Linked DNA regions of Rattus norvegicus. The protein of the gene in region 3 purifies or fractionates together with the protein of the main gene of each other region. This does not show direct contact. Links are inferred from orthologs where the notes say so. Each region holds a gene or a part of one and is shown on either strand. Other genes may lie near its edges. The genes, in order: Arhgef1, Arhgef11 and Gna13.

The links.
Region 1: the proteins of Gna13 (region 3) and Arhgef1 purify together in Homo sapiens (affinity purification with western blotting; 5 studies listed by BioGRID and IntAct, with this or other methods). This does not show direct contact. The link is inferred for Rattus norvegicus from reciprocal best matches to the Homo sapiens genes GNA13 and ARHGEF1.
Region 2: the proteins of Gna13 (region 3) and Arhgef11 purify together in Homo sapiens (affinity purification with western blotting; 3 studies listed by BioGRID). This does not show direct contact. The link is inferred for Rattus norvegicus from reciprocal best matches to the Homo sapiens genes GNA13 and ARHGEF11.

What each region holds. Positions count from the first base shown.
Region 1 is NC_086019.1:89,621,743-89,632,083, forward strand, and holds the start of Arhgef1 (rho guanine nucleotide exchange factor 1), read left to right. Parts: upstream 1-5,247; 5' UTR 5,248-5,342; intron 5,343-5,401; exon of another isoform or gene 5,402-6,683; intron 6,684-9,844; 5' UTR 9,845-9,862; coding exon 9,863-9,886; intron 9,887-9,986; coding exon 9,987-10,067; intron 10,068-10,341. Other genes in the region: Cd79a (B-cell antigen receptor complex-associated protein alpha chain precursor), read left to right, coding at 1,401-1,694, 1,908-2,026, 3,449-3,517, 3,649-3,762. UniProt on the Homo sapiens protein: Seems to play a role in the regulation of RhoA GTPase by guanine nucleotide-binding alpha-12 (GNA12) and alpha-13 (GNA13) subunits. Acts as a GTPase-activating protein (GAP) for GNA12 and GNA13, and as guanine nucleotide exchange factor (GEF) for RhoA GTPase.
Region 2 is NC_086020.1:175,368,267-175,378,902, forward strand, and holds the start of Arhgef11 (rho guanine nucleotide exchange factor 11), read left to right. Parts: upstream 1-4,023; 5' UTR 4,024-5,223; coding exon 5,224-5,255; intron 5,256-10,636. UniProt on the Homo sapiens protein: May play a role in the regulation of RhoA GTPase by guanine nucleotide-binding alpha-12 (GNA12) and alpha-13 (GNA13). Acts as guanine nucleotide exchange factor (GEF) for RhoA GTPase and may act as GTPase-activating protein (GAP) for GNA12 and GNA13.
Region 3 is NC_086028.1:94,832,092-94,842,771, forward strand, and holds the start of Gna13 (guanine nucleotide-binding protein subunit alpha-13), read left to right. Parts: upstream 1-5,364; coding exon 5,365-5,647; intron 5,648-7,905; coding exon 7,906-8,132; exon of another isoform or gene 8,133-10,680. UniProt on the Homo sapiens protein: Guanine nucleotide-binding proteins (G proteins) are involved as modulators or transducers in various transmembrane signaling systems.

The DNA.
Region 1 (10,341 bases), on a different chromosome or scaffold from region 3:
GCTAAATCCCCAACCCCTACCAGCAGCGCAACTCTTAAAGCAATGCCTGAACTCTAGGAAACTGAGGAGGCAGAAATACTGTGCTTGAGTCCAGCCTGGGCTACATAATGAGTTCTATCTAGGCTAACCTGGGCAATTTACTGGTTGCCTGTCCCAAAATGACAAGGAGAAGGGGGGGGGGGGGGAATCAGGGACAGCTTTCTGTACTGAGCCACAGGCTGGAGGAGACTTGAGTAAGTCTGTTAGGACCAAGACTACCATGCTCCACAACACACGACCTTAGCTCCACAAGTGAGAATGAGGAACTGAGGTGAGTGTTGACTGAACATGAGGATATGGAGGTAGCAAAGGGTGTCAGTGAGGGGAAACAGTTTTTGTTTGTTTGTTTGTTTTTCCTCTGCCTTACGTCTGGAGGACATGCTTCCTCAGGTGCTCCATTCCTCTCCGCCACCCCTGTGAACACACTGACCCAGGTTTTCAGAGGGGAAGGTCTGGGACCAGGGATTGGAGTCCTGCTGTCTTGAGTCTTAAGCCTGAGACCAGGAACTTGCTGGGGCCTCTTTTCCCTCCCTTTCTTTCTTCCTCACTTCCGACCTTCCTCTTTCCTGTTATGTCCAGAAACAGGGCTATAAGCCAGTGTGCTGCTGAGGTGGCTGAGAACAGGGGTGGGGTGGGAGTGACTCAAGGTGAACACAGAGAGCCCACACCATGGCCACCAGTCCACCCTTGTCTCTCTAAGCCTCCTCGGATGCCCCAGGCAGAACTCCGTCCCAGGGCCTAGGTCGACACTGGTTTCTTTGTCTTGTTTGTTTTGTTTTTGGAGACAGGGTTTCTCTATGCCACCCTGGCTGTCCTAGAACTCACTGTTAGACCAGGCAGGCCTCAAACCCACAGCAATCTGCCTGACTCACTCTCTGCAGTGCTGGGATTAGGGGCATGTACCACTACTGCCTGGCAGGTTGCCTCACTTAAATTACAGAGATGAGAAATGACCCAGGCACAAAACCAAACTAAACAACCAAGCCAAGGACAGATTCGGGGAGGTAGGACAGAATTGGGCTCTAGTACCTTTTCCAATAGGCTGGGTACTGCTGAGCCTGGGTCTAAGGTGTGCCCCATCTCCACCCCCTTCCCCATGGAGGTTCCTAAGGGTTATGAAGAATGAGGACCAACGGGATGGTCTTCAGAGAGAGTCCCTGGGCTGGTTGGGGGAACAACAAAATGCAAAGGGGAAATGGAAGAAAGAGGCCATAGGGCGTGTCCCCCGGTGTCTGTTCTTATTCTAGATACCATTGCCACCAGTGAGACTCCACTCCTGAGAGAGCTGGCATGAAGGGGGCTGGAGCAATCTTCTCCATCTCCAGGCTCTGACCCATCTGTCTCCTCTCATCTCTCCACAGGTCCTGGATGCCAGGCCCTGATGTTAGAAAGGGATCCACCATCCCTGACGGTGAACTTGGGTGAGGAGGCCGTCCTCACCTGTAAGAACGACGGCAAGAACCCTAATATCACATGGTGGTTCAGTCTCCAGTCCAACAGCACATGGCCCCCAATGCCACTGGGTCCTGGCCTGGGTCCCATGGGCAAGCTGATCTTCCCCGAAGTTAACAAGAGCCACAGGGGCTTGTACTGGTGCCAAGTGATAGAGAGCAAAGAAGTAAAGCGTTCCTGTGGCACTTACCTCCGAGTGCGCAGTGAGTAGGGAGGGGCACTGACCCTGGAGTTCTGTTCTCCGGCTCATCCAGAACACTGGAAGCAGAGAGCCAGCTCCTCCCTCCTGGACCTGCAACCTGTAACCCTGGCAGGTCACCTGCCAGATGGTGGCTTCAGGGTTCCCTGACCTCGCAAGGAGCAGGGCTGGGAGAGGAAGGGATACCAGAACACTAAGCAGCACCCTGTCTTCACAGAGCAAGTCCCGAGGCCCTTCCTGGACATGGGGGAAGGCACCAAGAACCGCATCATCACGGCAGAAGGGATCATCTTGCTGTTCTGTGCAGTGGTGCCAGGGACGCTGCTGCTCTTCAGGGTGAGTCTCTCCACGGCGACACCCTCAAATTATCTTGGCTTGCCTGGACTGTGACTCCCAGTGTCCAGCTGGTCCTCTGAATCCTGAGGTTCCTCCTTCAAAGTTTGGGAGGCTGGGAGTAACCCCCAAAAGGATTTCCAGTGGCACTGAGCTCTAGTGGGGTCAGCCTGTCCCCACGGCCCTCACAGATACCCTCTCACTCTCCTGCTGACCCACCAAAGGGAGTCCCCTGCAAATGCAGCCAAGACCAGGGAAGGAGGTGTGTCCTCCCAGAGCCCCTGCTTCTCCTTAGGCTACAAGACGTTGTTTTTTTTTTTTTTTTTTTAAATGGGGTTTCACTATGAATCCCTGGCTGGCCTCGAACTCACAGGGATCCACCTGCCTCTGCCTCCTGAGTGCTGGAATGAAAGGTGTGCACCACCATTGTCCTGCACCTTATTTATGGTTTGTTGTTGTGTACGTGGGCACTCGAGTGTGGAATCGGAGAACAACTTTCAGGGGTTGATTCTTTCCTTCCACTGTGGGATTCCCCACATCAAATTCATGTCCTCAGGTTTCCATGGCAATATCCTTACCAGCTTGAGCTATCTCCTGGACTTTCTTTGCTTTCACTTTTTTTTTTTTCTTTTCTTTTTTCCGGAGCTGGGGACCGAACCCAGGGCCTTGTGCTTGCTAGGCAAGCGCTCTACCACTGAGCTAATTCCCCAACCCCTCACTTTTTTTTTTTTAAAACCTAGACATTAGTCTAGGCTAGCCTCAAACTTGCTGTATCTCCATGGCTGGTCTGATTTGTCTTTATCTTCTAAGCACCGAAATTACAGGCATGCATCACAACCAGTTTTATTTTTGTTTTTGTTTTGACATTTTTGTTTGTTTTGTTTTTGTGGGTAGGGTAAGACAGCATCTTGCTATGTAGTTCAGGCTGGGATGTAGCTCACTATATAGATCTGGAATTCGCAATCCTCCTGCCCTGTCTCAGTTTACCAAGCACTGGAATTACAGATGTTCAGCACCACTCCCAGCTCACTGTTACACTTCTTGAGGAACAGTAGAGGGCCAGCATGGTGGCACACAGCTTTGATCCTAGGAACACTTAGGAGGCAGAGGCAGGCAGATCTGTCGGGAGTTCAAGGCCAGCCTGGTCCACATAGTGAGTTCCCAAGTAGCTCTTACTACATAGAGATCTAACACTGTTGGTGGAGTGGAGTGGCAAGCACATGCAGGCACGAGGCAGGAGACCGAGGCCCATAAGAAGAAAGAGAGGGGAAGAGGGGTGGAGATAGAATCTGCCAAGATCCCAATATGTGGCCTCGGGGGTGTCCCTTGCTCTTTCTGATAAAGCACTTGCTAGTAGAAGACGGTCTAAAAGCCCTTCGCCTCCCTCCTCGCTAAATGCCGCTTCTGCCTCATCCCCTTCCGTAGAAGCGGTGGCAAAATGAGAAGTTTGGAGTGGACATGCCAGATGACTACGAAGATGAAAATCTCTATGAGGTAAGTATGCCTGGGATGCAGCAGGCAGCCTTGCATGGCGGGTGGTGTCTGCACTGGGTCCCACCCTGGAGTTGACTGGGAGGGAGCAAGGGCCGCAGCTGCCAGGGTACTGATGTCTCTGTCCCCTGCAGGGCCTGAATCTTGATGACTGCTCTATGTATGAGGACATCTCCAGGGGACTCCAGGGCACCTACCAGGACGTGGGCAGCCTCCACATTGGAGATGTCCAGCTGGAAAAACCATGACTGACATCCCCCCACCCTCCCCACTCCCCATCCTGCTGTGCTGTCTGCCCCTGCCTGCCCTATGCCCAACTCCAGAATCCCTGCCCCTGCTGCTCTTCCGCTGTGCTTGTCCCTCTGAAGTGTCCCACCCTTGCCTCCAGGCTGCCCCACCCTATTCTTGTCCTTCCCCCTGGGGTTCCCTCCCTAGTGGGTAATGAGCCCTTAATCGCTGCCTCTAGGGGAGCTGATTACAGCAGGCTCGTTAGTGTCACCCCCCTCCTCCCAGATCTGTCATGGCCACTTAAGTGATAATAAATCCTTCCCAAAGCAGCCCTTGGCAGGAGTCATGGATCTCATGTGGACTGCTCCTCAATGCTGCCAGGGAACCAGGAGCAGAAAACACAAGTCCCCTCCTCCCTCAGACCCAGGTTTCTGGACCTAAGTTCTCACCAGACCACTTCTGAGATCTGGGACCAGACAGTCTTGGCTGTCTGTCCTCACCAACCCCACAACCCCCAAAATAACAGGAAGTCTCTTGGGGAAGTCCCCACCCCAATTGAAATGCTGGTTTATCTCCTTTATAGGGCCTCACCCTCCTCACGTCCCTAAGCAAGGGGGAACCAGCCCGGGCCTTACCAAATTTTTACCCATATTTAAGCTCTGAGAACACAAGGTATTATTTCCAGGAGTGGGACCTAATTCCCTCATGGGTTCACTTGCCTAGGCAGATTTGGAGAGTTTCTGTCAAGAACCTGGGGATGATGGAGACATCTAGAGTAGTCATTGGGATGGGAAGAGCAGACTCAGAAAGGTTGTTAAAGGACAGGAGGCAAAGAGGAGACTCAGGGAATCCCCAGAGACCTGGATGCAGAAATAGAAGCCAAAGGAAGAAACAGACACAAAGTGGCTGGCCTGGGCCCCGGGGGATAACAACAGTTGGGGAAAGGACAAAGCCTGAAATCTCAGAGAAGAGACAGCCAGCAGCAAGAAAAGGCCCAAAGTGATCAAACGGCACTGGGGAGCTGCATCAGGGTGAAGCAGCAGAGGCCAGAGAGCAATGAGTGCTGAACGGGCCCCTGACATTGTGGACCTACAGTCGGAAGCCCATCTAGCTTTGAAAAAGAGACCAGGGTGGTGGCGCACAGCTTTAACTTTAATCTCTGCAATCCCAAGGCAGAGGCATCTCTGAGTTCGAGGTCAGCCCACTCTACACAACGAGTTCGAGGCCAGCTAGGGTTACAAAGTGAGCCCTTGTCTCAAACTGAGAGAAAGAGAGAGGAAGGGTCAGGGCAGGAGCTGGGCAGCAGCAGGACGGGCGGCAGAGGCGGACAAAGGCGAAGGGGAGCCGGGCGGGGCCGTGTGGGGCCGCGCCCGCGGTGAAAGGAGGAGCCGTGCGGGTGGCGAGAAGGGGAAGGAAGCCGAGGTGCCGGGCGGGCACGGGGCGCGGGCAGGAAGCGGGGAGGGGCGGCGGGCGGGGGCTCCGGAAAAACGCCCCGACTTCCTGCCCGCTGGAGCCAGGAAGCCGGAGTCGGGACGCTGGGCCGGGATCGCCGAGCCCGACCTCGGGCGCCCCGCCGGTCACCTCCCCGCGCGGACACCAGGTACACCGTCCCTGGCCCCGCCCGGCCTCCTCCCCACTCCGCCGCTGGGGGAGGAGCAGGGAGGGGACCCGGCGCCCAGGGCCTCCCGGGGGGGCGCCCAGTCGCCTGCAGTCGTCTTTCTCTGCCCTCGGTTTTCTCATCTGTCAAAGAGAGCAAAGAGAAAACCCGGCGCGGTGACGCACGCCTGTCATCCCAGAAGTTGGGAAGCAGAGACAGGTGGATTGCCATGAGTTCGAGGTCAGCTTGCGCGACCTAGCGTGACCCCCGCCTCAAAAGGAAAAACAAAATAGAGAGAGAAGGAACGAGCGAGAGAGTGCATAGTAGGTAGAGATGAACTAGGCTGGGATCCAGGCTCCCAACTGTTCAGTGCAGAACGATAACACCTATTTATCAGCAGGGAAACTGAGGCCCAGGGAGTCGGACTGCCTTGTTGCAGGGACATACACTCTTAAGTAAGATAGCAGCTGGGACTTGAACTCGAAGCTGTTTCCTGTAAAGCGCTGTCCCCGCAGTCATGGATGTTTGATTAGAGCTCCCTAAAATAAACAAGTATCTCTGCAGAGCATTTTGAAGCTGAGAGTAACAGAGCGTTGAAAACGTCTCAGAAAGCTTTTTGATTTTTACCCTCCTCTGTGTTATTAATTATACTCTGGGAGATGGCTGTAGGGGAGAGAACCGGAAACATATCCGCATTGAACAGATGGGACGACTGAGGCCTAAAGGGAAGTCATTGCATTTTGCAGGTTGGTCTGTCAGGAGGAAATATATGCCCAAGCGCATGGGTGTTTTATGTTTTGGTTTGCTTTTTTTGTGTCTCTGTGGGGTTTTTGGATTTTTGGTGTTTTTTTTTTTCTTTCCAATTACAGCGGGAGGAGTTGACAGTGGTGACAGGGAGTCGGTACACAAGCATTTGGAGTTTAATAGGTCCGAGTTGGGGAGGTAGACAAGGTGGAACTTAGGACCTGAGCGACTTGAAGTTTCTCGGAGCTGGAGCCCTAAACCGGCGCTGGAACCATCCTCCACTCCTGCGAAGGGGGCGGGGCCCGGGAGAGTGACAGGGGCAGTCGAAATACGGAAGCGAGGGTCCTCCAAGACAGACCAGAGCGGCCCTATTGGGCCAGCGTGGCGCCGTGTAGCGCTAGACCAGCCTGCAGGAGGAGTGGAGTTGCCGAGGCCGGAGAGTGTAGAGGGCGGGCTAGAGCGGCCGGAGGGAGGAGTGGAGCTGGACGCAAAGGCGGCCTCTGGCTCGGCTAGAGCGACTCTGCGGCGCGGGTGGGGGAACCTGGAGCTCGAGCGCGGTTCCTGAGGCTGCAGTGGCTTGCTTCTCTTCCCATCCGACAGGTGAGATAGGCAGCCTTGGCTGCCGTGAAACCTGACCCCACACGTCTTCCCTGCCACCTACACTGCCACAGTTGCAGAATTATTGAGGGCCCGTGTAGATCAGCCACGTCCCATGTAAGATTTAGGGCTCATGAAGAGCCGCCACGTTACACAGGTCAATAAGATCTTACATACCTTCCAGGTTTCAGGAAGCCTTTCACGGAAACCCGGCTTTTAACATAAACATAGGCTTCTCATAGACCAAGGCAGGGCCCTACAGAACGCACCACACACCACTCTCGAGGTCCCATAAACCATTAGTTTTCCCTTTAGAATCACCATCTTTCTGGATTCTTGAGGCCCACTATGTATCAAATAGAATGTGGGGTTGTATACATTCCAGGGCCCTCTTGTAGTTTTTTTTTTCAAGGCTCCTAGAGGTTCTTGGACACCTGAATAATCCTTTCCAAAGGCTTGTTGAACGTGAGCCCTTAGAACGAACCCAGGTACCTTTATGTGCTTCCTTCTACAGGACCCCCCATTGCATAAACCTAAACCTGCCCTGACTTCCCCCATCCACCCCACCTCCAGAGCCTCAAGTGCAAAATGCTCCCTCTGCCGGACACTGGTAGACTTTGTCAGTGGCTTCATTTTGCCAACTTTACCTATATCTAATTTTCAAATTCTCTTTGAGCCCAGGCTTCTGGAGCTGCTGAGTCCATCCTGGTTGACTGCTGAGGTCACGGCAGCCACATGACTTTTCCAGGCACCATCAGACATGATGTGTCTCAGACCCTAATAGATGGACATTTTAGTGTCCTAAGGCCAAAATGTCGGGGGGGGGGGGTTGGGGGGAGGGAGGTGCCTCAAAGCAATGTTAATATGCTGAATGTTCAAACTGTGGAACCAGACTGTCTGAACCTGAATCCTGGCTCTGACTCTTATAAGCCATGCCTCAATTTCCCCCTCTGTAAAAGAACAAACCAAAATAATGCTGGCTTCATTGGGTCAGTGAGAGGATTAAATTCTTTAACATCTGTAGACAGACCCTGAACCCTGCATAGAACCTAAGCTGGTGTGCCCCATCTATGCTGTGTCTGAGGACACGTGAAGTGTCAGTCATTGTTCCTTATCTTTGTCATGGGGAATACGGGGATAATGCGCGTTAACTGTGCGTGAAAATCAGGGTTTTGGTGAACATTTGTTTAAATTTTGTACCTTCCTTGGGTTCTGTTTTTTTTTGGGGGGGAGGGGGAGGTGAGTGAATAAAGACTTTAACATGAGAGTTAAGGAGGCCATTTTGGATGATGTGTAAGAGCCAGGTATGGTGGCACACACCTTTGATTCCAGCACTGGGGATTAGGAGGCAGGCGGATCTCTTGAGTTCAAGACTGGCCTGCTCTACGTAGTTCCGGGACAGCCTGGGCTACGCAGATAAACCCTGTCTCCTGTCTGAGATGGGGGTAGGGGAGGATAAATGTTAATCTGGTTGCTTTGTTTGGTGATGCTCAGGGTACAACTCAAGGCCTCTTACATGACTGAACACATATCCTGTCATTGAGCTACACCCCCCAAACCCTCCTTGGCTCCTTTAGGGTCTCTCAGGTGAACAATTTTCCTGCTGAGATGAGCATGGGGGCTCTGGGTCTGGGCATGGTTTCTAGCCTAGAAGGTTGTCTGGAAGGGGCGGTCTTTGGAGGCATCAGGTTTTTCAGGAGGATGAGTGTACACGGGTGCTAGTAGTCGGGAGTTGGTGGGACTAGACGCAGTGTTTCCCTCCTATAATACCAGACCTTGAGAGATCAAGACAGGAGGAGGCCAGTCCTCAGAGTGAGATCCTGTCTAGAAGAAAAGCCAAGACTGAGTTGGTATAGCCAGAGCAACTCTCACATACCGTATGGGCTTATCTCTCATGATAACCACTGTTTCTTTGCTGGCTTGGTTTGCACGTTTATTTATTAAACACTCAGCAATGTTCACCCGAGCTTTAATGGTGGACAGATACAGCTGAGAGAGAATACAATGTCTGCTTGGGGGAACCCCCAGCCATGACTTCTGGACACTCCAGAAGGCGTCTTTACTCAGAAATCAGAATCACAGCAATGGCTCATTGAGTGCTAGGGAGGAGGCTGATGGAAGTGGGAGAAGGGCGGGCCTCAGGCAGCCGGAGTTATAAATAGCTTTGGGGTGTGGGGACCCACCGCCCCCTACTGGCCCACCCCACACTCTTTCCACCATTCCTTCCCTCCTGACACTGATCCACACAGCATTAGTCAGACTAATTAGGGTCTGGGAGACGCTCAGAAAAGGGAGAGTAGAGGGAAGACGGGATGAGGAGCCGAGACTCAGTGCGGAGCTGGACAGAACCAACACCGGCAGTGGAAGGACGGCTGTGGGAGATGAGGGAGGAGAGATAGGGAGGCAGAGGAGTGGCCAGCAGAAGTGATGGGTCTGGGAGGAGAGGTGGACCACAGATTCCCGGGACCACAACTGCTTCAGATTGAAAGGGGTGGCACACACCTGAGAGTGGGCTGTTGAGCCCCACCCCCTCCATCATTTTCTGGAACCATAGCTACAAAAGCTGGGAACTGTAGGGAATCACCAGGCTCAAGAGCTCAACCTGTCTGACTGAGAGGGACTCAGTTTTGTTTTCTCATGTAGAGGGAGTTGGAGCTTGGGGGTTCACCATTGACATTTCCTGTCACAGGAAATGGGGCTGGTGGGTTCAGAGGCAACATCCTGGCCCAGGTCTGCCACAGATCAGAATATATAGCCCTCCTCCTGCCCCCCCCCCCCAATACCCTTCCTAACTCCTCCTCCTTAAGGACTGTTCTTTTAACTTTGCTTGTTCTAGAGTCCTTCCCCCTGGAGGACTAGCCAGCCCTCTGGGGCCCTGATCCTTCTTTGTTTAGTGACCCAAATTAGTGGCTTTTACCACAGCCACCCAGCCCACCCATGGACCCATGCTCCTGGGCTCCAGTGCCCGCCCGCCCCCCTCCTTGGTCTCTCCGCCTCAGCTGGGCTGTGAAGAGCTCTTTGTCGCCACACAGAGGCCCCATTGAGTTTAGGAGGCTGGGGGTGGGGGTGTTTACTCACCTTCCGCACCTGGGCCAGGAATCTGTGAGTAACTGCCCAGCCTTAGGCACTTCCTCTCCGCCCCTAACTGCTCTTCCTCTCTGCAGCCCCGTGGAGTCCTGGAGATGGGAGAAGTCGCCGGAGGGGCGGTGAGTGCGGTGCTGGGAGAGGATCTGAGCCAAGGTGAGGGAGCTCTGGTGCTCTGTGAGGTGGAAGCCCTGTGGATTGAAGTCGTGTCTCCCCTTGTAGGCCCCAGGGCCTCCCCGGTCTGGCCTGGTGTCCATCATCATCGGGGCTGAGGATGAGGACTTTGAGAATGAACTGGAGGCGGTGAGCAGGGTGGGGTGGGAAAGTGTCCACCAAGGGCCTAGTTCTCCCTCCTGGGATGTGTCCTCTCCGCTCACACTATCATCTTCCACCCCATACCGAGTGTCACCGTCCACTGTAGACTGCCACCTTTCTCACTCTAACCCCAGCCTATCACTACCCCTCCCCCACTTGACTCATATCCCTTCTCAGTACTCAAGTTCTCCATAACATCCCAGTAACATCAAGTCTCATGCCTTCTTCCCAGCTACTTGCCCTTACTGTCTGGGTTGTAGCA
Region 2 (10,636 bases), on a different chromosome or scaffold from region 3:
AGAAAAGGGAATAGTGTCACTCACTATTACACCTTACTAACCCTTTAGGATTTTTGCTTCCTGTTCCCATGACTTTAATTTCTGCTGGCCTAAAAGTTTTGATTCCAGAGGAAAGAGTGTTCCTTCCAGGAGCCACAACAAGCATTATTGAACTGGAAGTTCAGACCTCCCCACTTAACATTTTGGGCTTCTGGTACCATTAAGCCAACATGCTAAGAAAGGAATAACAGTGTTAGCAGGGGTGGTTGATCCAGATTACCAAGGGAAAATTGGATTGCTTCTCTGCAATAGAGATAAGAAAGATTATGTCTGCATTGCAGGAGTTCCTTAGGAGACCCTTTGGTGCTACCATGTCTGGTGATTAAAGTCAATGGGAAACTACAACAACCTAATCCAGGCAGGATGACAAAGACCACAGACCCTTCAGGAATGAAGGTATGGGTCTCTCCTCCCAGAAAAAAGCCAAGACCTACTTAGGTGCTTGCGAGAGTGGAGAAAATACAGAATGGGCAGTAGAGGAAGGTAGTTATAGACACCAGATAAGATCACATGACCAGATGCAGAAACAAGGATTATAATTGACATAAATATTTCTCTCATGTTTTGTGAAGCATGTGTTTGTACATATATTTGTGTTTTCTTTCCTCAATTTCTTTTTTTTTTCTCTTTTCTTTTTTTTGGAGCTGGGGACCGAACCCAGGGCCTTGTGCTTGCTAGGCAAGCGCTCTACCACTGAGCTAACTCCCCAACCCCCTTTCCTCAATTTCTTTATCACGTGATGTAATATCAATGAAGAGAGTATCTGTGTTTATAATATTTAACTTTGAGATACTTAAAGAGATAATACCATGTACTCTAAAATTTATAATATGCTTCTGATTATATGAGGAATAGTTATATCACATTGGGGTAATTACGGTTTAAATACATAATGCATTTGTAATTAATCATATGAGGGATAGTTTTTATCATGTTATATGTAGTTATGACCTAGTTATTGTTTTCATTTAGAAATTAAGCATGACTTAAGGAGATATGATTGTGTGTCAAGTTGACAAGGAGTGAAAGTGTGATGGCTGTTCTTGGTTGTCAACCTGACTACATCTGGAATTAACTAAAACCCAAGTAGCCTGGTATATCTGTGAGGGATATTCTCCTCCTCCTCCTTCTCCTCCTTCTCCTCCTCCTCCTTCTCCTCTTCTTCCTCCTCTTCTTCTTCCTCCTTCTCTTCTTCTTCCTCCTTCTCCTCCTCCTTCTCCTCCTCTTCCTTCTCTTTCTTCTTTGTTTTTTGTTTTTGCTTTATGTTGTTTTGTGGTTTTGAGACAGGACTTCTCTGTGTAGTTCTGGCTGTCCTAGTACTAGTTTTGTAGACCTGGCCTCAAACTAGCAGAGATCCACCTGCCTCTGACTCCCGAGTGCTAAGGTTAAAGAAGCAAGCTACCATGCCCAGCCTGAGAGATTTTTTTTTCTTAATAAAGTCATTTGAAATGGGAAGACCCACTTTTTTTTTTTTTGTTTTTTGTTCCCCCCCCCCACCCGGAGCTGGGGACCGAACCCAGGGCCTTGGGCTTCCTAGGTAAGCACTCTGGGAAGACCCACTTTTAATCTGGATCTTTGGAAGTGGGAAGATGCACCTTTAATCTGGGCCACACCTGTATAAAGCACGTGTGTTCTCTCTCTCTCTCTCCCTGCTCTCACTCTTGCTGGTAAATGCACTTCAGGAATCTGTTGTATAGTGAAGACCAACCGAGACATCCAGCCTTATGGACTGAATGGCTACTGGATTCTTATCTTGGCCCTTCCTTCCATTGGTAGACAGCTATTGTTGGACCACAGTCTGTAAGCCATTCTAATAAGTCCCACATATGACTGCTCAGAGATTGAGGGCATCCTGAGATGCTTTGTGAAAATGCTATCTCAAAACAAAGAAACAAGCACCTGGAGATAAAACTCAGTTGGTTAAAAAAAAAGAAAAGAAAGTAAACAAAAACCACCACCAGCACCACCAACAACAAAAAACCATGCCTTGCAAGTACAAGAACCTGCATTCAACCCTATTGTGTGACAGACATTTCCTGAGAAGATGTAACCAAGTATCTACCCACTTCAGAAAGGGACCAAGAGCACAGCACAGTATGGACACCACCACAGTCCAACTTGGTGAACCCATGAGGCTTATTAGGGTGGCTTACAGAAATGTGGGTAGGGACTTTCTTATAGGAACAGAAATGACTTAGAGACAGTGGTATCACCAAAGCACATCCACAAAAGCTGGAAACCTGGAGCACACCACAGACTCTACAGCAGCTAACAGGTGTGTCCTTTCTAGGTAGATGGCTCAGTCTTCTGTGCCTCTTCCAGGCTGCTTAGTTGGTCTTAAAGTTAGATTGTCTGAGAATGATGCTAAATAGTTCTTATCGATTATATATATTTGGAGAGGGAGGTGTCTAGTGAATCTAGTCAGTTTCAGGAACTTTCTAAAGCCATATTTTAGTTTTTACTTCCTGTCTTAAGGAGCTTCTCCGCAGGATAGAATGTTTTACCTCTCCTTTGAACATCTTGCCTAAAATATATATATATATATATATATATATATATATATATATATATATTTCACCTCCCTTTTCATATCCTATGTCTTAAAGGATTTTCTCCAAATTGAGTGGCAACTGCTACACAACAAACCCCTAGATCACACAAAAGGGGCTGAGTTTTGGTTGCTGTGAACTTGTATTCACAATGCTGAGAAGGGTTAAAGGATGGCACTTACTCACCAGCCATTCTTGGCCTACTCAGCAAGCTGAGGCTGTTGAGAGACCAGACTCCAAGGAAGGGGTGAGGTTGTTTGGCACCTGAGGAAGAATGCCACCCACAGTTGTCCTCTGGTTTCCACAAGCACACCTGTGGAAGAGCACAACAGTTATTAAGATTCAGAAGGTAAGCACTCAGAAACTTCAAGAAGTTTCAGAAATAACCAAGAGTCACAATGCTCCTCCCCAGGGTTACAGAAGCAATATCAAGTCCAACAGCTCCGGTGGTGGAGGTCAGTAGTCCACTGTCCTCACCCATGCTGGGATGGGTTTTTGCTGGTGCAGCTGCCTTTAGGGGCTCATGTTTCTAGAAGCAACCCCAATAAATCCACTAACTCTCAAGAACAGGCTTCAGTAAAACTGTTGGTGCCCTATCTGATGTGAACAGATGTGTCTCACCAGAAAGTCACATATTACACACACACACACACACACACACACACACACACACACACACACTATAGCAAAGTGCATTCATCAACCTGTACTGGAAAAGAAGTAGGGAAATCTGATTTTAGTAGGTCCTAAATAGTTGCTTAATCAGTTTATTTTCCCTCTTGCTAACACAGGTAGGCCAAGACCAGGGCAGGCAGAAAGAGAATACTTGGAAACGCACCAGTGCCTGCATAGCTTACCCAAGCAAAACTACAATTCCTCCTCTGTCTCCTTTTTTACTTCAATCTTTACTTCTGACTACCGATAGTTACAGGAAGAGATTTGGAAACCGTGATTTCACAAAGGGGGTGTGTGTCATCAAAACAACATTGCCCTGGAAAAGATTTTGCATAGAAATTAAAAGGCAGAGCCATACAAGATACCCAAGCTAATTCGAGCACAGCCGCGAGGGCAGAGTCAGTGGGTGCTCAGAGGGGCCGAGGCACAGCTAGGAGGGTTCCTGGTAACTTGGAAAGGAGCGCGACAAATGAGTGAAAAGGGGCAGAGGAGGACATCGAGGCGCGGCCCGCGGACACTGCAGAAACAAAGGTCGAGCCTCTGGGACAGAAGCACCGGGAGCAGCTAGGCCGCAGCGCGCGGGTCGGGGGCGCGCGGGGCTGTGAAAGGGCGGGCGGCACCAAGGAGGAGCCAGCGGCCAGCCCCGGCGAGCGGAGTCGGCCGGGGCGGGGCGGGGCGGGGCGAGGCGGGCGGGCGGCCGCGGGCTTGGCCCGAGCGAGCGCGCGCGGGGGGGCGGGGCCGGAAGCGCAGCGGCCGCGACGCGGACGCCGGGAGCGGCCGAGCGGGGAGGCTGTGGCGGGCGGGCGGGCACGGAGGCCGAGGCCGCGGCCCGGGCTCTCCGCGCCGCTGTGGAGGGCGCCCTGGCCCTAGCCGAGCCGCAACAATAGTAGGAGCGGGTCGCCGGGCAGGATCGGCGGGCGAGGAGAAACGGGACCTCCGCTCCAGGGCGCTGCGACGAGAGAGACTTTCCGAGCCTGGACGTGCAGGAGCACACAGAGCTGACTGAGGAATTTGTCTGAGAAAAAGGCCGATCTGAGGCTGTGGCTGAGCACGGGACTGGACTAGGTGGAGGAACCTGCAGGTCGAAAAGGAAAAGAAGGTTTAAGATTTCCTGGGGTTTGGCCAATGCTACCGTTTTGAAGGTAGAAAGCATTGCGCTTCAGGTGTTTTGTGATTTTTGTGTGTCTCTCTGTGTCTGCACAATTGGCTGTTTCAGAATTCAAAACCTTTACTGTAGAAGATTGTTGTTTTGTTTTGATTTTTAAGAATTCCACAAATTTTGCTTCCCGGGGCTGCACTGGACTTTGTGTTGTGTGCATACTGCTGTATGGTTTTATTTATTTTAACTGTGCAAATCATCTGGAAGATTTTTTTCCCCCAAGTGCCATTTCGGATTTGTTCAGCCTTTTTGTTTTGTTTTGTTTTTCCTTCCCTGGAATAATTCTACTGTTGGCATTTTAAGCATTTGAAAATCAGAGATATTTCAACCTTTGGAGCTTAAAGCTTCCCTGTCAACAGAAGGACAGCTGGGAAAACTGGATTGAAAGGATGGTTTTTATCTGTCTGCAGCAAAGACTGATATTTTGAAGTCAGATTCTTTCTGTGGTTCGTTTTTTTAGCCCGTAGGGCTAACCTTGAAGAGATTTGTGGTTAACATTTTGGTTTCTAAGAAGGTCATAGTTTTTCCTTTTTTTTTTTTTTTTTACTTTCCATTTTCTTCTTTCTTTTTTAAGACAAGGGGAGGGGAGGGTAAAGGGTTACGGAAGGAGACCATGTTAACTGATAGAAGCAGACTAGCACCGCAGTTCCCAAGGTCCTGACAGCTGGAGGAAACAAGGGTTCAGTCTTCAACTTGGGAGGCCTTCCTCTCACCTTCCTTGAAAATTGCAAGGGACTCAGGCCTGATCAAGACGCCCAAAGAAACGACAGGATTCCAGAACTGTGGAAACACGGAGAAACCATGAGCATACGATTGCCCCATAGTATAGACAGGTATGTTTAAATAATTTGGGATTTTTCCAACACTTATTAAAAAGACTGGGAGGGAGGTGTTGTGTTTGATTGGCTGGGCTGTGGGATAGGTTGTGGTCTATGAGGACTGTCAGTATATATGTTTATGCGCCCTCCGTGTGTGTCCATGTTCAAAATATATCCCATAATTCTGTGTCATTTATAACCAGTAAGCAATCAAGATGGAGAGGAGGGGGTAATGCGTGCAGTGGCTTTTGCCCTACACCAGGCATAAGGCTGACTCTTGAGTCCCCAACTTGCTAGCCTAGGGATTCCAAGGCTGGACCAAGCCTGATTATGTGAACCCACAGGGGTGAGTGGAGACTAGCTTGAGATATCTGGGGAGGGAAGGGAGATGGCGGACAGGGTTGTGAGCCCATCAGGCTGATTGTTAAGGAATGGTGGGCACGGTGGTAGGGTGGTTCCCAATTAAAATGAGGAAGATGTTCTGGCCTGAAATGTTGGGACAGAAACACCCTGCCAGTGTCACCAGTATCACGAGTGGTTGAAAATGTCTAGCCACATTAGAATTTCTTCAGGTTTAGAGTTTAAATTGAGACCTTCCAACAGGCTGATGCTCTAGGTTTAATTTTCCAAGCTGTTCTTAATAAGCTTGACTCTGCAAAACAGGCCTTTCCCTCTGCTTGAAGCCGGAAGGAGTTGTTCTGCCTCTTAGGCCCTTGAAATCAGCTGGAAGCCCATGATGCCCCTCCCCTGTGAGCCTGATCTGCCTTCCCTCTTACTGGTAGCATTGCAGTGTGGTTGTTCTCTCCTCCAAAGGATTGGTGGTACAACTTTGGTCAGTATCTGCCTTGCTGTTTCTTCCCCTTCCCCTCTTCAACCCTTCCTCTTTAAAAATCGTCCACCAGGGTGTGTTTTGTGGATATTCTATCCTAACTGGATAGCTAGGTAAGGTGGTTGGAAACTAACAGTCAAATGGAAAACTAGTGTTTGCGAGGTAGGAAGGAATATCTCTGTAAGTCAGCAGTTGCTCTCTCTGGGTCGGTTAACCTCTCGCTATTCATGCTAATAGTAATTTCCTTTTGACTGTGGAGTGCAGCCTAAAACATAATGTCTCCCAAACACCACCTCTGTGTTGTCTCAGGGTCCCAGTTAGATCTGTTTAGTAGTCTGTGTGTGGGAGAACTGGCCTACAGTTGGGAAGAGCAGGCAGGCAACCACAGAGGCAGTGTGGCCAGCTGCCATCTCCCTTCCCGTTTCCATTGTGGTCTCTTGTAATTTGCCCCTGGGAAAGGATAACTGAAGCTGTCAGAGTAAGGAGGTGAAGGGTTTGCAAGTCCACCCTTCTCCCTCCCCTTAGACCTGGGGGATTAGTATACTCAAATTAAGATTTGGGGCGGTGAAGACTTTCTGTCAATTCAGGGGTGTGAGCAGATGGAAACCGGGTATTGAGGGGTGTGAGGAGGAGGCAGTGAGGGCTTCTGGGTTAGCATGAGGTGTTCATCTAGGAGCTTGCATGACTTCACAGATACAGAGTCCCAGGTGCTCTCATTAGGACACTCCTTGTTTGACCTTCTTGATGCATCTGTGAGGTAGACAAGTCACTGCTCACATTTTGCAGATGAGGAGACTGAGTGGATTCCTGGTTTGTCCAGTATTCTAAGGAGTGTCAGGATCTAGTCTAAAATCTGAGTCTTCTGATTCTGAATCCCTGACCCTTTTTGTTGCCTATCCTGTCTGCAGAGGTTTATAGACTTACCGTTTAGAATGGGTACGGCACCATTTTGCTCTCTCTGGCAGTTGGGTGAGGCAGTTGTCAAGTGTTCCCCTGTACTTTGTACCTGTAATCTCTGGAGTTAAAGCACTGTGTTATTCCCTGGGAAAGTCTTCCTTGCTTTACCCTGCCTGACTCTGCCCCAGTGAGCGGGTCAGTCCTGGAACTGAGGTCCCCTTCTGGCTTTTCTTGCTGGCTTCCCTGATCTTGCAATAGAATCAAAGTACACTGCTGAACTTGATGTCGCAGTCGCCGTGCCTTATGAATGTAAATAATTCACTTTTTTTGTCACCTCCTGCTGGCTTCCCAACTTGCCGTGTATCTGGGACTCACAATCTTGCTTCCTCCCCTGGCATGATAATTTCGTCTGATGCCATGCTGGAGTAACAGATTAGAAGGAAATGTTTCAAATTATGGTGTCAGGAATCCTATTCTCTTAGTTTGCCAATGTATTGTATACGATGGTAGAAGTGTTAGAAAAGAACTCGTCTCTTTCTGCGAGCACGAGATCTAAGTGGGAAGTAGGCGCTGTGGTGCATGCTTGTAGCCCCAGTACTTGGGAGCTGAAGCAGGAAGGATTACAAGTTTGAAACCTGAGTTACACCCTGTCTAAACAGTACAGCACCCCAAAAGGCCACAGAAGTGGCACAGTTGGTTCTGAAAACAGGGGCTGTTGGTTTGCTTGTTTTTGTCCTTTCTGCTAAGTTTAGTGCCTGGTGCATAGTCAGTGCTCCATAAATACTTGTGATTTGTGCTGGGGCGAGTGAACATACCAAAAAGTGTGAATTCAACTGCAAGTTGTTCCAGTGACTTGGCCATATAGTTAATCCAGGGTAAACTTTAGCAAACGGTTCTTTGGTGTTACAGGATGGAGGATCATGTATCTAGAGACTGAGTGTGGCTTAAATAAAGACTGGGCTACCTACTTGGCAGTTCTTTACCTCAGTTTTCTCCTGTTGGGTAATGGAAGTCATTACCTGGTCTATGGAAGTCATGGAGTGTTTTTAGATGACTTCTCTCTTCATGATCACCAGTCATTAGTGAAAGACGAGATACAATGTGGCTACCCCTGCCCTCAAAGTTTTTCTTCATAATATCTTTTTGGCCCTTCATCTTAATTTCAATGTTTTCTGAAAATGTGTTTGGTATTGTAAATAGAGATTATGCCTCAGGGTAAATATTCTTGGGGCTGGGTAGGGTGTGAATTTGTATCTACAGAATGGCTTTTCTCTGCACAATGGTAGCTCATGTAAAGACCAAACCAGAAAAAATACAGTTCTGCCAAGAATTCTTGGTCTTCTCCTTTCCCTCCCATGTAGAGCAGCAGTGCCACAGGAGTTTTAAGCTCCTGTTCACACGATTCTGGTTTTGCTATTTGAAATTTGCTTATTATATCTCCTTCCAGGGCTGTTGAAAGGCACAAACCAGATGAGAGAAGACATTTCAAATTGCTTTTTAAGTTGTGAAACTACATTCTACGTAGTAAACTCATGGATTTGATTTAGCTTTGTGCACTACTTCATGAATTGAATAATATAAAGCAAGTTAAAGCTGGTGTGGTGGAGCACACCTTTAGTCTCAGCACTGGGAAAGGAAAGACAGATGGATCTCTGGAAGTTCAAAGCCAACATGGTGTACAAATCAAGTCTGTGGCCAGCCAGGGCTACGGACTGAGACCTGTCTCAAAACAACAATAATCATCTTAAAAGTTAAGGAGTATCAGAAAGTTCTGTTATTTTGAGAAATTAGGAATGAATATTTTGTTGTTGTTGTTGTTGTTGTTGCAGAAGTATACAAGGTGAGGAAAACAGAAAACAATGCTGGGTTGGGAGTATAGCCTAGTTGGTAGAATGCTTGCTGGAGTGCAGGAAGAACTAAGTTCAGTCACCAGCACTTTATTCCTATAATCCTAGCACTGCAGAAATAAAGACAGGAGGATCGGAAATCTAAGTCCCTTCTTGGCTTCATAGGGAGTTTAGGCCAGCCTGAGCTACAGACTCTGTCTCAAAAAGAAAAAAAGCAATACTCATAGGAGGGTGTGGTGGCCCATCCTCTAATCCCAGCACTTGGGAAACAACTGAGGAAGATCACTGTGCGTGTGCGTGTGTGTGTCTGTGTGTGTGTCTGTCTGTGCTTGTGTGTGTGTCTGTGTGTGCCTGTGTGTGCTTCTGTGTGTGTGTGTGTCTGTGTGAGTGTCTGTGTCTGTCTGTCTGTCTCTCTGTGATTGTATGCACACATATATGTGGAGTCCAGAGGTTAATATGAGGAATCTTTTTCTTTTTTTTTTTTTTTTTTTTTTTTTGGTTCTTTTTTTTTTGGAGCTGGGGACCGAACCCAGGGCCTTGCGCTTCCTAGGCAAGCGCTCTACCACTGAGCTAAATCCCCAACCCCATGAGACATCTTTTTCAATCACATTCCATCTAACTTTTTAAGACAAGGTCTCTCACTGAACCTGGAGCTTGCTGACTGGCCAGTGAACTCCAGGAATCCAGACTCAGGTCTTCGTGCTTTCAGGGCTAGCTCTTTACCTAGTGACTACTCCCCAGCCTCCTCCCCTGGAATTCGGATGAATGGGAGGGAGTTCTACTTTGGCTAATTAGATGTCATTCTGTGGGGTGCAGTTAGAATTTGTTGTGGGTTTTGCTCTCCCCACTGCCCTTTTTTTGCAGGGATGGAAGTAAAACACAGGGCTTCCGGCATGCTAGGCAAGTACACTAGAATCCCCAGGAAAGATCCCAGGCCGCTCCTCGTAGAAGGAACTTTCAGAAGAAATACAGACCCTAAAACTGTTACTGTCAGGGGTCTCTACCACTGAGAGGTCTGTGAGCTCTGGGACCAACGAGCTCCAGATATTTAATTTAGTTTCTATTTACTTTAGAAGAGAGTCTCCCAGCACAGCAATAAAGACCTAGAGAAGCAAGAATAAGGACCTGGAGTGCTGTCTTGCCCACAGCACACCCTTGTCTTCGTCTGGAGTGTGAGATGGAGACAACAGTGGATTTGCAGATGAAGCATTTGGCCATGAGTCAGTATTACAAGGCAGGGGCAGGCTAAGCTTAATCTTGATAATCAAAAATGTTCTGATAGAGCAATCTAATACTTTTTCCCTGGTCAAAGTACTATCAGGCAGAGAAACTGCCCTCTGTTTTAGGAGCTTAAACAAAAAAATAAAAATAATAACATTAATCAGAAACCAAAAACATAGTGGGAACTGTATGGGTAGTCCCTAAATGAACACAGGGATAAGGGAGCTCTGGAAGCTCATAGCCTCTGTGGAACAAGGTCTGGAAACTGTAGTCTGGATAGTGGCCCTGGCTGCTTTAAAGATCGAAGACCTGTGTGTGTTTTTAAAGGAGGTGTTAACTCCAAAAATCTGTTAGAAGACATGAGTTGTTTTCATTTATACTGACTCTACTTCACATTATCATAGTAGCATTACTATCAAAAATATTTTTACTGGTTTATTATTTTAAAAAAATTATCATGTAGCTTAAAAACTTACCTATAGGTGCTGTATATCTTCTGGTTTTGTTTGTTTGGTTGGTTGGTTGGTTTTGTTTTTCTTTTTTTTAATTCAGTGGATGTCTATTTCAATTTTTCATTTTAGAAAATTTCAGGCAATATATTT
Region 3 (10,680 bases):
CTCTCTCTCTCTCTCTTTTCCTCCATCAGCCACCTGGAACATTTTACAAACCAGAGCCTGAGCTCGAAGTAGGGAACATTTCACTAGAATCAGTCTAACAGCTGGAGAACTTCAAGATGGCAGCCAGCCTGGATGGGGCTGGAAAAACAGACAGACCAACCCACAAACAAAACGGCAGAACACTACAGTCCCTTAAAGCTAAATACAGTTTGCTTCTTGTCTCAGACTTGAGCTTTACCCATCCAGGGATTCTGAGCCTTGGGCTTAGTTGGGAGTACCAGAGAGAACACTGTGATAGCGGTCAAAGAAGGATCTATGCACAGTGGCTCATGCCTGAAATCCCAGTGTCTGGGAATAAAGAGTTCAAGGTCAGAGGCTAAGTGCTGTGCAAGCATGAGGATCTGAGTGTGAATTGCCAGCACCCAGGATAAAAAATAGGTTGTGGCCTCATGGACCTGTAACCCCTTGGCTGGGGGCGATGGTTTGAGTTTTGTTGGCTGCTAGTCTAACTCCAGGCTCAGTGAAGAGACCTGTGATAAGGAACCAAGGGAATAAGGTGGGGTGCTATGAAACAAGACACCCAAAGCTCCCCTTTGGCTTTGACCTGCACAAGCACAGTTGTGCAGCACACAGGGTGGGGGGGGGGCAGCCTGGGCTGCAAACCATGACAGCCTGTCTCAATAAAACCATACATGCATATACATATGAGGTGCTTTTGAGAGGCTTCGGCAGTCTAAAGCACTTGCTGCTCTTGTACCTAGCACCCGCATCGCATGCCGGTTCCAAACCACTTATAACTTCAGTTCCAGAGGATCCGATGACTTCTGACCTCCTCAGGCACCATGCATGCCTGTGCCGCACATATACGCATGCAAGCAAAAACCACTCCTACACACATAAATCAATTTAAAATGTTTCAACCAATTAACGAGAACCAACAACCACACAAAGCTCGAGATCGGCTTGGGCTACAAGGCACTCTGTCTCACGCCCTCCCTCTCCCCCTCCAATCAAAATAGTGTGTGCTTCCAGTCCTGGCAGGCTCTGCAGCTGGCCACAGTAAGCGAAACTTTAAGGGAGTCGTTTAAGCTTTTCCTCCTGGCAGCTTTTTGCGGTGGCCAAAGAGCAGGAGGCTAGGGCCTAGTGTTCCTAGTCGGGCTATTGTGAGGAGTGAATGAGATAAAGTAGGTCAGAGTGCTTGCAGGCATTTTAAACATTACACACTGCAAGGCCTGTATTATGGGGGGGGGGGGGGAGGGGGGGAGTGTGCTCAGGAATCCCCTGCTCCCTTCCCTTCCTGGAAGAGAAAGGGACACACGAGAGTATTCATGCCTACTTTATCTGTAAGGAAGGATTAGAATCCATCTATTTCACGCGGTGAGAGTTTCGCAAGTCCAACGCTGCATGTGTCATTGTCCCCCATTAGAAAGTTAACTCAAGATTTAACTGCCAACTGATGTGACTGACTTTTAAATAAACACGTCAAAATGGGTGTTGGCCCATCCTGACCAGTAAGTAGTCACCTTGGTAAGCCAAGCCTTTATTTGAATTATATTTGCCATCGTTCAAAAGAAAGACCTTTTTATTTTTTCTTTCTTAGCTCCTCTTTGGAACTGTTGCTGGAGCGTCTGACACATTCTTTTGAATATGTCTGAGGGTGACACATTTTTGTCCTTTGTGGATAATCCTGATTTTTTTTTTTTTTTGTAAACAGGCCAAAGTTACTTGGCACAGAGATTGGTAAATAAGCTAAGTAATATCATTTTTCAAAAATTAAACATAAACAGTGACTTCAAGACAGAAGTCTTTCAGCTTCTGAAGGACTGTGGACCGATTTGGAAGGAGATAGCAAACAAGGAAGGGCTCCTTTCGTCTTGCCACTAAACTTTGACCTTCCAGAAAAAACAGTGCAACTGCTCAAGTGTCCCTATCATTGTAACCCAGCTTGGGGTTGGGGCAGGGCCAAACCACTCTTTTGCATACGGATTGACTGACTAGTCTAGATATCCACCTTTCCTAAGAATGAACATTTGGATCTGTTAGAAACAGGCTCCAGCAGGCTCAATTCTAACAGGTAGGCTCTGCCATCCCTTAGAAGTTAGAGTTTTATTTTTTCCCTCTAAGAAAAACACGGTGACTGAGAATATCACCAATGCATGACACCGTAAGGGGAGACAGCCACTTCTTCTGTAAATCACTTGCTCCGTGTTAGTTTGACACAGTGGCACTGCCATTCAGGACAGGTTGCACAGTGTAACATCCCTATTCATTAGATGCTACATAGTGGCCCTTTCTTTCATTAATGTTACAGACTGGCGCTTCCATAAAGTTAGCGTCAGCTGATGCCAAGTATCATTTATGTAACAAAGCTCTTTCTTAATTCACTTTTTTCCTTCTGTAGTGAGACTCGCCTTACATATGAATGGCTTGGCCATTTTCACCTATGCAGCTCAGCTCTTGGTACAGTCACAGTGGTCTGTCACAATCACCACTCTCTGGTTTCCAGACACTTTCCTCGCCCTCAAAGGAAACAGCCCATTAAGCTCTCCCCATTCCTCCCTGCTTCTCAAGCCCTCACGACTACTAGGCTTTCCATTTCTGCAGGTTTACCTAGTCTGGAAATTTCACAGAAACCAAACCATACCATAGGCGCCTCCCACGCTGAGGGTGATATTCTCGAAGTTGATTCTTGTAACGTGTATCAGCGTATGTTTGGTAAATGTTCACGTCTGTAGAGGCACACGCGTGTACCTGCGAGCATGCATTCATTATTCGTTGAGACAGGATCTCACTTGAACCCAGAGCTTGCTGCTTTAGCTAACCTCGCTAGTCAGTGTGCTCTGGACCTCCTGTCTCTGTCTTCTAAGCCACTATGCTACCTGGCATTATTGTGGGCTCCGGGAGATCAGACTACAGCCCTCATGTCTAAACATCAGGCACTTTAAACACTGAGTCACCTCCTCAGTCCCTTCTAGCAGCACTTTTACCCTTTTTCTGACTGGGAGACCTGTTGCTTGGATGAATCTCATTTTGTTTAGCCATTCATTTGCCAATGGGCATTTGGGTCTTTTTAAGTCCCGCCCCCCTTTAAATTTTATTCATTTATTTTGTCGTTGTTGTTCTTAACAGCGCTGCCAGGACCATGGGTGTCCAAGTTTTTGCCTGAGCAGCATTCTCGGTTTTCTGAGGGTATACACTTAGGTGTGGACCTGCCGGGTCACGTGGTAGTTCTGTGTTTAGCTTTTGAAGAACCACTAAACTGACTTTTTCATGCTTATGATTTGCAAAGTGTCTTGATCACTGGTTTACACGCAGCAACCAAAGCCGGGTCCCGGCTTTAAACGTTTCTTTTCAGAAACCCTGATTAGAGCAGCCAGGCTCAACTCCAGTCAAATTTGTTCCGAGGCGAGGTTCCACTCAGGGCTTTGAACAGCCTCCCTGCTGTACTACAAGTCCCGACAAGAACTGGCCAGGCAGGAATCCCTTCCTGCCTCCTAGGCATGCTTGCTTTCCCATTATGTTGTGCACACCTCAGGAAAACGAAGATGCTTAATCTAACGTATGCATTTCCCTCCTCTGTTTCTGCTAAAGAATTCAGATTAGAACACGGAGGTCACCCCGAAGGGCTTCGCACCTACCTGTCCTGGGTAGCCTTTCCATGGACCCTGAACAGGGAGGGCATCTCTAACAGTGGTCAAGGTTATATAGTGACCATCCATCCATAGCAGACTTTGGAATCAGGCCTGACCTTAGCAATCCACAGATTCTGAAAGTGAGCACAGCCTATTTTGCAGCCGGTCTAGTCTGTGGGCTTAGATCCACTCACAGTCTCTGTGGGTGTAACAGGAGACAATTCCACTACAGGTATTGTTTACTGCAGCCAGTGTAGTGAGTCATGAGCTTCTCAGTCACTGGCCCAAACTGACAGTAACTGACTGACTGATTTACAGCACTGGTTTTTAAAATTTAAACTTGCGCATATCACGGTGTTGACCTCTTACCCCAGCTCCCTAACACACAGGAAGTTCCCAAGTTGCGCACAAGCCAGGACCCAGGAGCAAAACCAGACAGGCATCAAACCGCCTTTCCCCTTTGAAACTGACAAAGAATGAAGAAGTTGGCTTCTGAGGTCTTTGCTACACAGTCACTCAGATGTCACTTGTCACGTGTTCCCTGGGAGTCTTTTCAGGTGTTAGGCCTGATCTGCTGGTGTGACAGAAAAAAAAATTTTTCTTGTCTGTCATATCCTCTGAAGTCTGGCAGGAAACCTAAAATGTGCCTGCCGCAGTCCTAGGCTGAACGCTTATCTGCTTCCTTGGGAAGAATGAGCATCGCATCATAGTGTCCGGTTTAGGGGGATTTTCAACATGACCTCACCCTCTCCACCATTCACTGACCTCAGCAGGCATTACCCAAGTCACAAATGCAGCCCGGCTGGGAATCCACATTAGTGAGCCAGCCAGGGCAGGTTATCAATAGTGCCCTGAGCTGCTAGGAAGAGGTGTTGATCAATAAGGACATCCGACATCTACTTATCCTTCGGGATGGTTAGGATGGCAGGGGTAGGGTGAGGGCCGTGGGGGGGGGAGGCGGTGACCGCTGCTAATTAAGTGCACGAGCTTGAAATAAAGCCCTGGCCGGCCTGTAATACCAGAAGTAGACAGGGAGGCTGAGATAAGACAATTGTCACAGATTTAAGCCAGCTACAGCCGCAGGGAACTTGTCTCAAGAATTTAAAAAAAAAAAAAAAAAAAGGCAAAATGTAACGAATGCCCTGGTCCGTGCAGGGATGTCCCAGCCAATGGTCGCGTGAAGGTGACAGTAAGCGGCGGGCGAGGAACTATGGGAAAGAGCAGTGGAAACTGTAGAGATAAGGATGCCTTAACGGAAAGGGGTCTGGATGGGCTTTGCTTACTCGCCTCGGGGCTCCGGGAAACGGTGGCACTAAAGGGAAACAGAAACTCTGGATCCGCAGGCGCGCGCGCGCCCAGGTTGGCCCACGTGACCCCGGACTCCGCAGTTCTCCGCGCGCGCTCCTGGCCTCAGCCAGGCCAGCGAGCGCGTGACTCGCGCCGCCCCCCCCAGCCCCCGCTGCGTGCCTGCGTGCGCGCACCCGGCAGGCGGCGGGCGCGCGCACGCCCAGAGGGCCGCCGCCCCTCCCCGGGCCCGCCCTCCTTCCCTCCCACCCTCCCCCGGCCGGCGCGTCCCGCCCTGGCGAGTCAGTCCTCGGGTTCCCTCCCTCCCCGGGCGCGCTCGGGCCGCCGCTGCGCTCCCCGCCCTCCAGCCGCCTTGCCGGAGCCACCCGCTGCCGGAGGAGGAGGTGGAGGAGCCGCAGGGGCCCGCCGAGGCGGCGGCGGCGGCAAGATGGCGGACTTCCTGCCGTCGCGCTCCGTGCTGTCCGTGTGCTTCCCGGGCTGCGTGCTGACGAACGGCGAGGCCGAGCAGCAGCGCAAGTCCAAGGAGATCGACAAATGCCTGTCGCGGGAGAAGACCTACGTGAAGCGGCTGGTGAAGATCCTGCTGCTGGGCGCGGGCGAGAGCGGCAAGTCCACCTTCCTGAAGCAGATGCGGATCATCCACGGCCAGGACTTCGACCAGCGCGCGCGCGAGGAGTTCCGCCCCACCATCTACAGCAACGTGATCAAAGGTGCGGGGCGCGGCGGGGCTTGGGGACCCCAGGGGAGCCGGGCTGGGCACCGCCCTCACCCGCCGGTCCCAAGTCTGAGGAGACCGAACCAGACCAGATCGGACGGGCAATCCTGTGGGCGCGCCTCGGTCACCGTCCTGTGCGCTGCGGTGCCCGAGTCCCTTCGATCCGGGACGCCCTGCTGTCCCCCCGCCCCCTCCCCGTGCTACCCCAGTGAGGGTCACGGTCGGCCCCGCACTCCGCGGCTGGCCTCGCCCCCTCCGAGAGGGAAGTGCGGCGAGCAGAGTGACTCGGGGCAGCGGGGCAACTTGTGTCCTCCCTGAACTCCAGGCACGACCACCCATCAGTAGCTTTAGGTTCTATTCTTCTTCCCTTATTTGCCCGTCCAGAGTGGGTGACTCTAGTAACCCGGTCTGTCACCCTTACAGCTCTGGGCGTCCTAGGCCACCTCTTGACTTAAGCAAGTTCTGGAACGGTCGTAATGAGGAAACTTTTTTTTGCCCTGAGACTCTTGTCAAGGGCATAGAGTGACAGCCTCTAGAGCCTTTTGAGGTAAGAGTATGAAACTCGCGTTTACTGAACTGGCATCAGGAAAGTCTATTAAAAAAAATAGCGCCAGTGGTTTTATCGGCTCATTGCTACAGGATGTTTGTAATTACAGCCCAACATGTTGCACACTTTTTTTTCTTTTTGCTTAATAACTTGAGGCAGGAGAAAAACGGCATCGTTACCAATGCTTAAACGAATTCATGTTTAAATATAAAGACCCTTTGGCATAAAAGTCTTAGAAGACCATCCAAGACAAGTTAGTGAGAGGCGGGGAATATGCATTGAGTTGGATGATGGGCTTTACAAATCCTGTTGAACAGTGTTTTAAAGACTGTTCCTAAGTGAAAACCACACAAAGTATTCCTTAGTGTTCAGATAAGTCGCGGAGGTGGCTTTTTATTTTGTCATTTAAAAGAATCGCCCTTTTTTCCCCTTTAGTGTCAAATATTTTCTGTGTAAGAGAAGTTGGCAGGATTGGGGCACAGCAGCCGATTTCTGAGGGGTCGAGGAGTCACCCTATTAAATCTTGGGCTCAGAAGCAAACTGTAAGATTGTAGGTCTTTTCAGGGAGTTGTTTCAAAGCCAGTTTTTTGTTGTTGTTCAAGAAGTGCATAAGCAAACTCCCTCATGGGTCCCTTCCTCCCCCCATCAGTGTTTCAAGTAGGGAAGAACTAAAGAGGATTCGCTGCTGGGCAGTGAGAGGAGAGGGCAGGGCGAGGCCAAGAGCAGACCATGGCTTGCTCTTACTTAAGACCTTGTACCTTTGCTGTTAAGTGAAAAGGATGGTTGTGGGTAGTCTGCCTTAATGCTCAGCACAAAACTAATTAAAGTCTCCTCTAAGGCTGTAAACTGCACCTTGCCAGCCCTTAATTGAAGGTACCTTTGTATCCTGATACAGTTGAACTTAAAAGAATTATGTTAATGAACAGACTTGTGAGTGAGGGAAATCACCTGCTTTTCCTTATACACTGGGCCTAAGAGCTACTTTGAGCATTATTGTGTGATCAAGTCTAAGTCTAACTAGGCATCTTATTTTCTTCAATCGCCGTGGTCAGAAAAGTGAAAGCTTAATTTTTTTTCTTCGAGTATCCTAAGAAATGACTTCCCGGTGACAGAAGTAGCAGTGTAGCCACAGGGTCGTGGAGTTCGGGCTAACCTGTGTAAGTGCAGTCTCGGATTATTTTGCAGTTGGTTTTCCTTTTGGGTAACTCTACAGCCAGTGTGTGACTGCACTGATTAGAAGCTTGGACTGAGGAAGCTTTGAGGTTCAGTGTGTCCTAGAAGATAGTGTGGGCAGGGAGCTGAAGGACTACGACTGCACACCGTAAACCGTTCTTAGCGTGTGCCAGGCTGACTTTAGCCTGGCTTCAGGCTAGACAACATTATTTATTTTTTCCGTCTCTGGTTTTGACTGCCCTCCTCCAGAAATGGTTTTTATGAATCGCAGCATATTAAAATCCTTCCCAAAGTGTTCTTGTTATTAATATTTTCAAGGCTTCTGGTTTTGAGAAACAATGAACACTTACTTGTTTCTTAACTCTGAGAACATAAAGGTTTTGTTTTGATTTTGGTCTCCATTTTGGAAGTGGGGCTTCTGTGATAGCTAAAAATTAAGGAACCAATACTGACCAACCCTGGGGCCAAAGCCTCTGGTGGTATCTTCATGACTCTTCCTCACAGTTTTTTTTTTTTTTTCTTTTTAAACAAAGGTATGAGGGTGCTGGTAGATGCCCGAGAGAAGCTTCATATTCCCTGGGGAGATAACAAAAACCAGGTCCACGGAGACAAGTTGATGGCATTTGATACCCGAGCTCCCATGGCTGCCCAGGGGATGGTGGAGACTCGAGTTTTTTTGCAGTATCTTCCTGCTATAAGAGCCTTATGGGATGACAGTGGCATACAGAATGCCTACGATCGGCGCCGGGAATTCCAACTGGTAAGACATTCGCTTGTCTAAAATGTGTTTTTATTTATCTATTTTTATTTTTCGAGGTTTTATTTATGTGTGTGTGTGGGTACATGTATGCCCCAGAACATGTGTAGGCGCCAGAGGACAACTTGTGGGAGATGGTTCTCTCCTAGGGTATGGGTTCTGGGCATTAAACTCAGGTCCTCAGGCTTGGGGGCAAGTGTTTTACCTGCTGAGCCACCCTAACCCTGAGGTGCTTCTGTTTAATGACATTTAGCAATGTCAGGTTTAGCACACTGTTATAGACTTCCACAGTGTAATGTATCAATTCAAAACTGTAGCCTCAGAAACTCGGTTTGCTGTGTGTGCCTTTTACTAAGCAAGGTTAAAAATGAGGTCAACTCTGTAGGTGTAGTAAAGCTGTTTTACTGGTTAGAAAGTAAGGTTGGAATGACTTTCCCCGGTATTCTAATTTTGTTCTCTTTAAAAAGTTATTTTTCTTACAACTGTGACTTCCATGCTCTTCTCCAGCGATGGCTTTTTAGAATAGAAGTTTGGTTGGTGAATGTGGTGGTTTACGTGTTCCAGTCAGCCTTTGAACCACTTACCCAGTGACACAGATGAGTTTGCTATAGAGAGATTAGAGTCTTTTTCTTTTCTTGCTATGTAGACCAGGCTAGCCTTAAACTTACAGTAACCCTCCTTTCTCTGCCTCCTAAGTGCTGAGATTATAGACATGAGTCCCACTGTGGCTAGCTGAGAGACTGAACTCTTTCTTTATAAGAAACAAAGTACTATTTTCATGGGAAATAATTTCCATTTGTTTTCCCTCCTTTATCTTAAAAAAGACTATAAGATACTTTGTAGCTGTTATACACCATTGAAGAAAGAGTAGGAAAGCCCGATATAACCCAGGGCTAAAGAGAGATACATGGACTGGGTTAGGTGGTGGTTCATGCCTGTAATCTTAGCTCCTTGGAAACCAGAGGCAGAAGGATCACAAGTTCCAGGCCAGCCTGGGTGACACAGCAAGGCCCCGACTTAAAAAACAAAGATACAAAAAAGAATTGAGATGGAATTTTTAATCAAATGGTTTATAATCTAATTGTGAGCGCTTTGATTGTATTTGGTTCTATTTGCCGAAAACCAGAAAGGGTCCATCAGAGTAGCAATGTGGTCAGTGTGCAGTTTAGCAATAGTTCAGGTCCTAAGCACTTTCCTGTAATGTAATTACAGTAGAGTGACAGTTAAAGCAAAACTGCTTAGGAAATTGTTTGATGATGTCATGAACACTCAAGAGATCCTCATGGGTGTGACTAGACAGAGATGTACAGCCACCAGACTTCCTTAGTGCCGTCAGTATTCAGGAACAGTCTATGCTTTCTAGAACAATTACAAGGAAGGTTTATGGTATCTTTTTGGCTAAACCCATGTCTTGTGCTCCTTACTGTTTAATGTAGTATGTCTGGCTAGTATAGTTCATCGTGGATATACATCATGTTAAATCTCATTGAGTGCTGGCAGCATTGTATATCAAGAAGTATGAGTTTAACTTGATCAGTGACATGGAGTCACCAGATTTCTGGCTAGCTTTGACCTTTGGTCCCTGTCGTCACTGTATTCTGGAGTCTGGGCTTGCTCCCCACATATCCCCTTTCCTTGCTTTCTTCTCCACCCTCCTGTTTGAGGGTAGCTTCTTGGCCTCCTTAGTTTCTTTTCTCGGTAGACTCCCTTTCCAGTGTTTTCTCAGATGTTTATCTTCCAAAGGCCAGGGAGAAAACAGCTTGTCCCACAGTAAGCAGTCAGTACACCCTCCATGAATAAAGGAACAACAGTGGACCTGACAGTTCCCTGTGGGAAAGAAACTTGTGTTTGTCCCAAGCCTACCTAATTGAAGTTGGGGTGTCACGGACAGATTGTGAATCTGTGCTTTCACATCTGAGTCTCATATTAAGGTCTGTGTCCTTGTTGAGAAAGGTTTGTGTGTGTGTTTTATTTACGAATAAACAAACCTACTCAGAAGGCCTGTGTCTTCTTGACTCGGGCCAGCTAATGTTTCAGTAGAAGAATGCTATCAGCACCAGGGAGAGGCAGGCTCCAGAAATACCTTTCCACCCCGGATAAAAAAGTAGAGGGACAGACAAGAAAATAAAGTTGGCATCTACTTGTAAAGCAGATTGAGGATTGTCCTACCCTGAGAGTGTTTCAGCACTGTCAGCAGTGCCTGGCCTTGGTGGGTACTTGACTATTGTGTTTTTTGAATGGGTAATGGTGTTTGGCACTGAGAGAGCACCTTGCTTGAAGTCACTGTCAGCACCTTTCCCTCGTAGAGCAGAGGCCCACGTGCTGTCTTCTCTTCCGTAAAGTTTGGGAGTTCATTCACGTCTTTTTGTGGTGTTCTTTGTTGCTCTAACACTTCAGAAGTGGTCTCCCTGAGACAGCATGGGATTACTCAGAGAGCGCACTTCTGCCTGGAGAATGTACCTCTTGTTGTGGGTAAAGGCTCCAGTTAGCTTACCCATGATTTCAACAGTATAATTGATAGGTAGCCACACATACCCTCGTAACCTCCTAA